Linked DNA regions of Mus musculus. The protein of the gene in region 1 purifies or fractionates together with the protein of each later gene. This does not show direct contact. Links are inferred from orthologs where the notes say so. Each region holds a gene or a part of one and is shown on either strand. Other genes may lie near its edges.

Evidence for each region. The genes of interacting proteins can lie anywhere in the genome.
Region 2: the proteins of Gnai3 (region 1) and Ric8a purify together in Homo sapiens (affinity purification with mass spectrometry; 3 studies listed by BioGRID and IntAct, counting the BioPlex papers as one, with this or other methods). This does not show direct contact. The link is inferred for Mus musculus from reciprocal best matches to the Homo sapiens genes GNAI3 and RIC8A.

What each region holds. Positions count from the first base shown.
Region 1 is NC_000069.6:108,115,116-108,118,760, forward strand, and holds part of Gnai3 (guanine nucleotide-binding protein G(i) subunit alpha), read right to left. Parts: intron 3,344-3,645; coding exon 3,186-3,343; intron 777-3,185; coding exon 648-776; intron 1-647. UniProt on the Homo sapiens protein: Heterotrimeric guanine nucleotide-binding proteins (G proteins) function as transducers downstream of G protein-coupled receptors (GPCRs) in numerous signaling cascades.
Region 2 is NC_000073.6:140,855,944-140,860,269, reverse strand, and holds the start of Ric8a (synembryn-A), read right to left. Parts: upstream 2,874-4,326; 5' UTR 2,800-2,873; coding exon 2,716-2,799; intron 2,426-2,715; coding exon 2,378-2,425; intron 2,289-2,377; coding exon 1,698-2,288; intron 1,408-1,697; coding exon 1,316-1,407; intron 832-1,315; coding exon 681-831; intron 1-680. Other genes in the region: Bet1l (BET1-like protein), read left to right, coding at 4,031-4,049.

The sequences.
Region 1 (3,645 bases):
CTTAGCTCTGGCCCATTAACCTTAACGGGAAGGGGAGCCGTCTGAGAGGAGTGGTGCTGCTAAGAAATAGTCCTGTTTTACTGTCAGCACGTCAGCACGTCAGGATGAAGCCATCTATACGTTATTTTCTACCTATTTAGTACGCTCTGATCCTTCTAGCAATAGTCAATACCTATTTGGCAACTAACAAAAGCGTGCTGAAAATGTAAACAAACACAAAATGATAATTGTATAATGAATTCTAATGGTAGGTAAACTATTATTTAATTTTACATTTAATTTTCTCTAAATACTGATGCTATCTGGAGGAGAAAAATAAATAAATGTGTGGGGTGTAATCAGATAAAACATTGAGCTAATGGCTCTTAAATATTAAGTTTCTAAACCAAGGAACACTGCTTACAAAGATCTTACCCCCAGACAGAGAGGCTAACTAAGGGGAGTCAGTAAGCCAGGCATGTGGTATACACCTGCAACCCTAGCACTCAGCAGGCAGAGGTGGAAGATGCAAACTTGAGGCCACCCTGGTCTACACAGCAAGAACTAGGTCATCCAGGTTTACATCATGAGATCTTGACTCAAAAACAAAAGCAAAAAAACTTTTGGTTCTTTGTGCCAGACCCAGGCAAGAACAGGCTATGACGTACTTGAAGTAGAGTTCCTTGAAGGTGAAGTGGGTCTCCACAATGCCTGTAGTCTTCACTCTTGTCCGAAGAACATCTTGCTGAGTTGGAATGTAGTTGGTCTGGGATATTCTATCCAAATCATTTAGGTAGCTAAATAAAATGCATATTGGTTTTTACTTGGTAAAGTCAACCATGGACATGACAAATCAACAGACCAAACTAGCAGCTTGGCAAAAGTCAATTCTGTGACTGGCTAAGTACTGGCACATGTGAGGCCTAGGTTCAATCCCAAGTGCCAACAAACAACAAACAAAGGTACCCTGAAACTCACTGAAGGGCAGAAAAATATTAAATCTTCAGTATCATAGAATGAGTGAAAAAAGTGAATCAAGTATAGGGGAAATTAATAGGTTCTACACACAGTAACAAGAATGGTTTTAAATATACCGTAAAAGCAAATTTTAAAAACATGGCAATTGTATTATTGCTAAATCTAATATGAAGTGAGCTATGCACTATAGAGCAGAAAAAACAAAATCAAACTGGGATTGTGACAAAGACCTGTAACCCTGGACCCCATGAATTCCAGGTAAGTCTGGGCTACAGAGCAAGACCCATATGAAAATAAAATAACAAAAAGTTAAAAGTTCTTGGATACTTAAATTTATGTCAGCTGCATACATAACTATTTGACAGCTTCTTAAAGAATGATACTTGATATGAAAATGAGAAGAACTACATTCAGTGAGAATATAGGTGGATATGTGAGTATAGGCTTATAAACCCAGCACCCGAGGATGCAGAGGCAAGAGGCCACATGTTTGAGACAAATCAGGAAGATACAAAGTTTCAGGCCAGCCTGGGCTATGTAACAAGACCCCATTTCAAAAAAAGGGGGAAGAGAGTAGGGGAAAGACAAAGGCTAAATCTTCACTGATTCCAGACCAAAAAAAAAAAAAAAAAGAGCAGATGCACTACTTTAAGTGTGCCATTCAGATCATCTACAAACCAAATACCACCATTAACAGAGTTGAGCTTGGATGAACAGTGACAGAGGGACCCAACTTTATAAATAACATGTAGTTTGGCGAGTCAGAGCTTACTCAATGGATGACAGAAGAAACGATTAAAAATTTACCTCTGATAGCCACTGAATTGCTTAAACTACCAGTATACGCACATAAAGATAATCTTAGTTTTAAAAAGACAGCAAGAATCCTTTTATTGTTTGTCAAATTATAAGTAAGCTTTATAAATAGCATTTATATATACCATTTCTTGTAACAATTGTGACAGAATGAGAATGGGAAAATATAAGGCTAGAGAAAATACCTTAACAACCAAAAGTCCTTTATCTTGATTGGGGCGGGGGGCGGGGGGCGGGGTGTGGGGGGCAGGAGGTACAGATGTCAAGTACTCACCAGGTCCCCCAAAAGTAAACTTTAAAACTACAGCATGAATATATAAATGTGTCGGGGGGTCAAAATGGGATCAAATGTAGCAGTGAATAAAAGTACTAGTTACCAATTCTCTAAAACTAACACTCAAGTGAGCTTCCTTGATAAAGAAAGGCTTCATTCTATTGTATGATAATGTCCTCATCCCACAGAAGCCACCACCGCAGTCTGGCAGGAGAGGTGCACGGTGCTGGGTTTTGTGGTACAGGCTTGTCATCTCAGCTGTTCGGAAAGCTGAAGCAGAGTGGTCAGAAACTCAAGCCTGCCAGGGCTACGGAATGAGTTCAATGTCAGCATGAGCGAGATTGTGTCTCAAACAATCAAGAGGGCTGAGGAGGAAACTCAGTGGTAGAGCCTTTGCCCCACATGCACGAGGCTTTGGTTTAATCCCTAGTACAACACACATTCACAAAAGGTTAAGTGTAATGACTACTACCAGAAAACCTCACAGTACATCGAGTATAAAAGGACTGGCACACCCGTGGTGGTGCTGCACATCTCATCCTAGCATGTAAGGCAGCGCAGGGGGATCTCTGTGTGTTCTAGGCCAGCCAGAGTTACACAGTGAGATCCAGTCTCAAGTACAATAATAACCAAGGGGTGGGGCAGCTCTCTGTATGTGTGTGTGTGTGTGTGTGTGTGTGTGTGTGTGTGTGTGAGTGAGAGTGAGTGTGTGTAATGGGGTGTTACCCCTCTAGCTGGCTATCAGTGCTTTGTCCTATACGGAGGGCATCTAGATGTCTCAACTTTACTTGCTTATTATAAATAGATCTCTGAGATAACCTTAAAGTGAGACAACTGTAATACAGGATCCTACAAACTTTTGGACATTAGTACTTAAACATTTCCTTAAGGATAGGCAATGAACATTCTCTAGAGTCACCAAATTATTATTTATTTATTTGTTTGTTTGTTCGGGGGCAGGGTTTCTCTGTATAGTCCTGGCTGTCCTGGAACTCACTCTGTTGATCAGGCTGGCCTCAAACTCAGAAATCCGGCCACCTCTGCCTCCCAAGTTCTGGGGTTAAAGGTGTGTACCACCACTGCTCAGTTACCAACTTATTGTCTATCACAGTTTCAAAGGAAAAAAAAAATCACTTACTATGAAGCAGAATCATTGAGCTGATATTCCCTGGACCTGCTAAAGCATGCCTGTACCCCGCCATCTCGCCATAAACGTTTAATCACGCCTGCTAGTTCTGAAGTCATGACTCCTTCTTCAGCACTCCCAGCTAAAACAAATAACTGTCGGGCATCATCCTGAGAAAAACAGTTAAGACAGGGGCAGATGAATTCCCACTTCTTTACTAAATGAGTTTCATTTTTCACACAGTTATGTGCACGCGCAGAATCATAGTTTAGAAGAAGTGCTATAGAAACCTTTCCTGACAAGGTAGCATGAGAAAACTAGCAACTAAATCCCCAGCCCACCCTCCCACTACAATTCTAAATACAAATAGCTGAATAATGATCTGCCTTCCTCTTAATTCTCCATGTCATACCGCCATCCTCAGAAAAGGTCTCTTGATGGACTCGCAACCCTCTACCCTGATGACTTATGA
Region 2 (4,326 bases), on another chromosome or scaffold:
GGGGGTTTCACACGGAAAGGCTGGATCGCCAGCTCTCTGGATGCCCCATGGAAACCCACAGGGGTCAGATTACTTGTGGTTATGCCTCTTTAAGATGCAGAGGGACAGCTGGGGGGTGGGGGTGGGGTGACGGTGGTATCGGTACACATCTTTAATCCCAGCACTCAGGGGACAGAGGCAGACAGATCTCTGTGAGTCTGAGGCCAGCCTGGTCTACAGAGTGAGTTCCAGGACAGCCAGAGTTACACAGAGAAACCCTGTCTTGAAAACAAAACAAAACAAAACAAAACCAAAAAAATGCAGAGGGACAATGTCGCCTCTGGCTGCCCATGTATAGAAACACGAGGAGCCTGACGGTTGGAAGCGGGAACTAAAGGCTTCTGAGAACCACTTAGCAGAGCCACAGAGACCTAAGGGCTACCTTTCACCTTGGGACCCGAGAAGCTTGCTCTCCTCTGGTAATCAGCAGCAGGAGGGCTCACACACACAGTGTATCTGCAGGCTTCTGCGAGGGCCTGACTGAGCGGCCACCGTCTAGCTGCACCACAGAGCAGTCAGAGCAACTGTCCACGATATATCGTCAAGCTGAGTTCTACTCGCCAGTACCAATGGTTCAGAAACAGCAGTCACAACAGGTGCCCGAGCCCCTGGGTGTCCACGTAGCAGGCCCCCAGTCCTACCTGGTGCAGACGTTTCTCTAGGAAGGCGAGGAGGGCACTGATCACATCCATGTTAACTCCCATGAACTCTAAGGATCCTTCGTGGAGCTCCAGGGCCAGAAGCACATCCAAACACTTGAGGGGCAAGTTCCCCAGGAGATTCACCGTGTGGCTGGGGACAGACACACAGAGGCCTCGACACAGTAATTATATTTAGCACAGATACACTCCCTGGCCCTTCTCCTGGGGTACACATGGATGGGCTCGAAGGGTTGCACTGAAAGCAATAGACTATAGGCAAGGGCAGGTGGTACCCCAACTCAAATTTGGTGGGGAGATTCTGCAGACGCTATCTGGGCCATTATGTCTGAGCTGAGATGCCAAACAATCTCTCGAACCTGAGATGAGCAGAGGCACCAGCAAGAGACCATACTGCCTCCGCCTAAGGCCCTGTCTCTAAGTTCATAGCTCTTCTCTTAGCCATACCTGAGTTACCTAGGCTCTCTGGAAACAACACTGGTGCCCCATTCCCCTGATGAAGTCAAAGGTGGGGCCTGGGCCCCCAAGTGCTTCTGATTCACAACTAGGGTTAAGGACTTCTGTACCCATACCTAGGAACTCTTGCCGTCCCCAACATTGTGAGCCCTACCCCTCACCCGTGGAACTCCTCTGTGCGGTCCCCAGCAGCTTCAACCATCACGCAGTGCCGCAGAAGAGTCCCCAGGTACCGGTAAAGGGCAGCATCTTCCTAACCAAAGACAGAAAGGGGCTCCTGTGAGATCGAACCCCTGTTCTTGTGGCCACATGGAGTTGATCCCTAGACGCTGTGCACAGCACATGTGGTGCTTTTGGCCACCTGAAGCACTGTGGAGAATACCCACCTGCAACCCCATGCACAGTGCGGCTCAGGCACCTTCCCTGAGTTCCCGCCTACACCATCCTCTAGTCCTCGCCATATCTGATACCCTGCAAGCTGAGGTACAAAGGGAAGCAAACTGTCCCACCCGAACTGAGTCTCAGCCAAGACTTCCAACCTACCTCATCAACTTCCCTCTTGACAGAGTCAAAGGTGATATTAAAGAGCACTTTGAGGATCTCCATGGCCCTCTCCGTCTCTTGGGCTGGAAGCATCACCGGAGGGTTTTCTTTGGGGGCCACGCCCAGTGTTAGTTCCAGCGCATCAGTCAGCAGGCGTACACCGTGCAGCTCCTGAAACAGTTGCTGGCGCACATCCGTGCGAAGGGCTGTTAGCAGGAAAAGGAGCCTCAAGTCAAAGAACTGGACTTCGTGGGGATAGCTCCTCTTGCGGTACAGTCCCACACGCTCCGCTAGCCTCACCACCAGGCGAGCCTCTGCTGCTAGCATCTGTGCTGTTGGACTGCTGAGCACAAGATTACACAGGCATTTGAGAGACTCGAGGAGGACATCCATGTCTGGGGACTGTGGGATGGGTTCCTCTGAGACGGTAATGTCAGCATAGCAGGCTAGTGCATGTAAGCTCTGGCGGCTGGCAAATGAGTCCAGGCAGCTGCGGTCTCGGGATAGGATTCGGATAGTCTGCAGCCAGGTGACACGGTGCTTTGGTGACAAGCCCTGCTCCAGGACGGAGACCAGTAGCTTTGCGAGTCTCTGTGGGGTCGAACAAAAGTGGTTCCACTAGGCCCTCTTCTTGGGGTCAGCCCGTGCCTGCCCTAGGAGCCCTTGGGGCTGACACCTACCTTCCTGTCCTCCTGCTGGGCATCATCGAAGGTGAAGCTCTGAGAATGCTGCAGGGAGACCCAGGAGGCTCAGATCCACATGCAGGTAGGACCCGTGCTCCTCGAGTCAGAGCAGACCTCTGAAGCAGCATCCATCGCTCTGAACCTTAAGGCAAGGCCCACCCTAGCCTCCCATACACCTGCCCCACCACACGCCACCACAGAGCCACCCGAGGGACCAGCCCACCACCCACCGCCGTGCTCCCTGCCACCACTCGCACGCACACCCCAGCCGAGTTGCGCGCACACCCCTGCTTCCTCTCTTCCTGAAATTTCCTCGGCAGCCGGATGCCTCTCACCTCCCGGTTGAACGACCGCAGAGCTTCTGTCACCGCATCTTCCTCTCCGGTCTCCAAGGCATCCGCAACTGCCCGGGGCTCCATGGCCCCTGGCACCGGGTGCTGGAAGGCTTGGGCTGGGAAGACGCAATCGGCCAAACCCCGGGGCTCCGCCCAGGTCCGGAAGCCCGGCGTCCACGCGTGAGGGATGCTGGGAGAGCAGCCGAACCCAAGGGTGTGTACAGGCGCCTCCGACTTAAGGTGGAGCAACCCGGCTGTGGTCGCTGAGCGGCTAGTCTTGGAGCGGCGATGCTAGCTAACCAGCCAGGCAGTGTCCTCCTTTTGAGCCCTCCTCTCTAGCCCGAGTTCCTGGCAGGCGGGGGGTGGGGTGGGATGGGAGGGTGGGGAGTGGGGTGTGGCTTGGCCCGCGCGTGGACCGTCCTCTTTACGCTCTTGTCCCCGTACTGTGATAAAAAAGGGAGCGCCGGCTCCTGGCCGCTTAATCAGTTGGGGAAGACGATTCTCGCGATCCAGGCCTTGGAGCTCATCTTCCATAGGGAATAGGGAAAGAGAAGTACAACGACTTGGATGGTCAAAATAATGCACGTGGTTAGCCGGGCATAGTGACGCACGCCTTCTTAAATCCCAGCACTCGAGAGGCAGAAACTAGCAGACCTATCTAAAAAGAATAGCCACCAAAGTAATACGGTTATTCTCAAGAAAATTGCAGAGAAGGAAGTGAAGAACACCCGTGGAAAAGCCACTCCCGCGAGAGGAGCAACGGAGGGGCGGCCAGCCGAGGCGTGTCTGAGGTTAGAAGCGTAGGAGCGCTGTGTAGCGGGGAGCCAGGTCCGCACGCCACTTAGCTGAGTCGGTGCCCCACAGTGACACATACAAACAGTGCTCCAGTGGATGATGTCACCCGCCGTGCTAACCGGCTCTGCCCCTACTCAGTGGCAGGCCCCGGCCGTCTCCTTCACCAGTCTCTTTCGGGTCTGCCTGTCCTCCCCATCCAGTTGGATTTAGCAGCGCCAGAGGCATCCGACTGATTTACTGAGCTGGTTCCTAGCCTCTGCTCCAAATTTGGGTCTGAACACCTGCTCCGAGTAACACCCACAGCGCAGGACTAATATTGCTGACCAATCCGTGGGTCCGAATGCTGGTGGCCCGCCCTTCCCTTATTTACATTCCCGAGAAGCACTCCAGGTCTGTTTCTTCCGCTTCAGAACCTTCTCCCGGAAGTTATTAGCCCGGAGGCGGAACCGGAAGACCCGGGTACTGGTGCCACGTCCGTTGCTGTGCTGCGAATTCCCTGAGTGGGACCCTGGAGGGCGCGATGGCAGATTGGACTCGAGGTGAGAGCACTTGAAAGGCAGTAGAGGTAGGAGGGGAAGTCTAAGTCTGGAGCTGGAGACATCGCTCGTTTCTCGGTGGAAGGACCTGCGTGGGGTGGCGCTTACGTATCCCTGGAAAAACAGGGCCGGATTTCGCCTGGCGCTGCCTTGGAACCCAAGCCGGCATGCCATCAGTTTTGTGTGTGGTTGATGCCAAGAGCTGGAAGCAGAGGGTCCAAGCAGGGTTTTACTAATGAGGGGCCTGAGTGCCTCGGTTCACACACATTCCCCGCCCCCG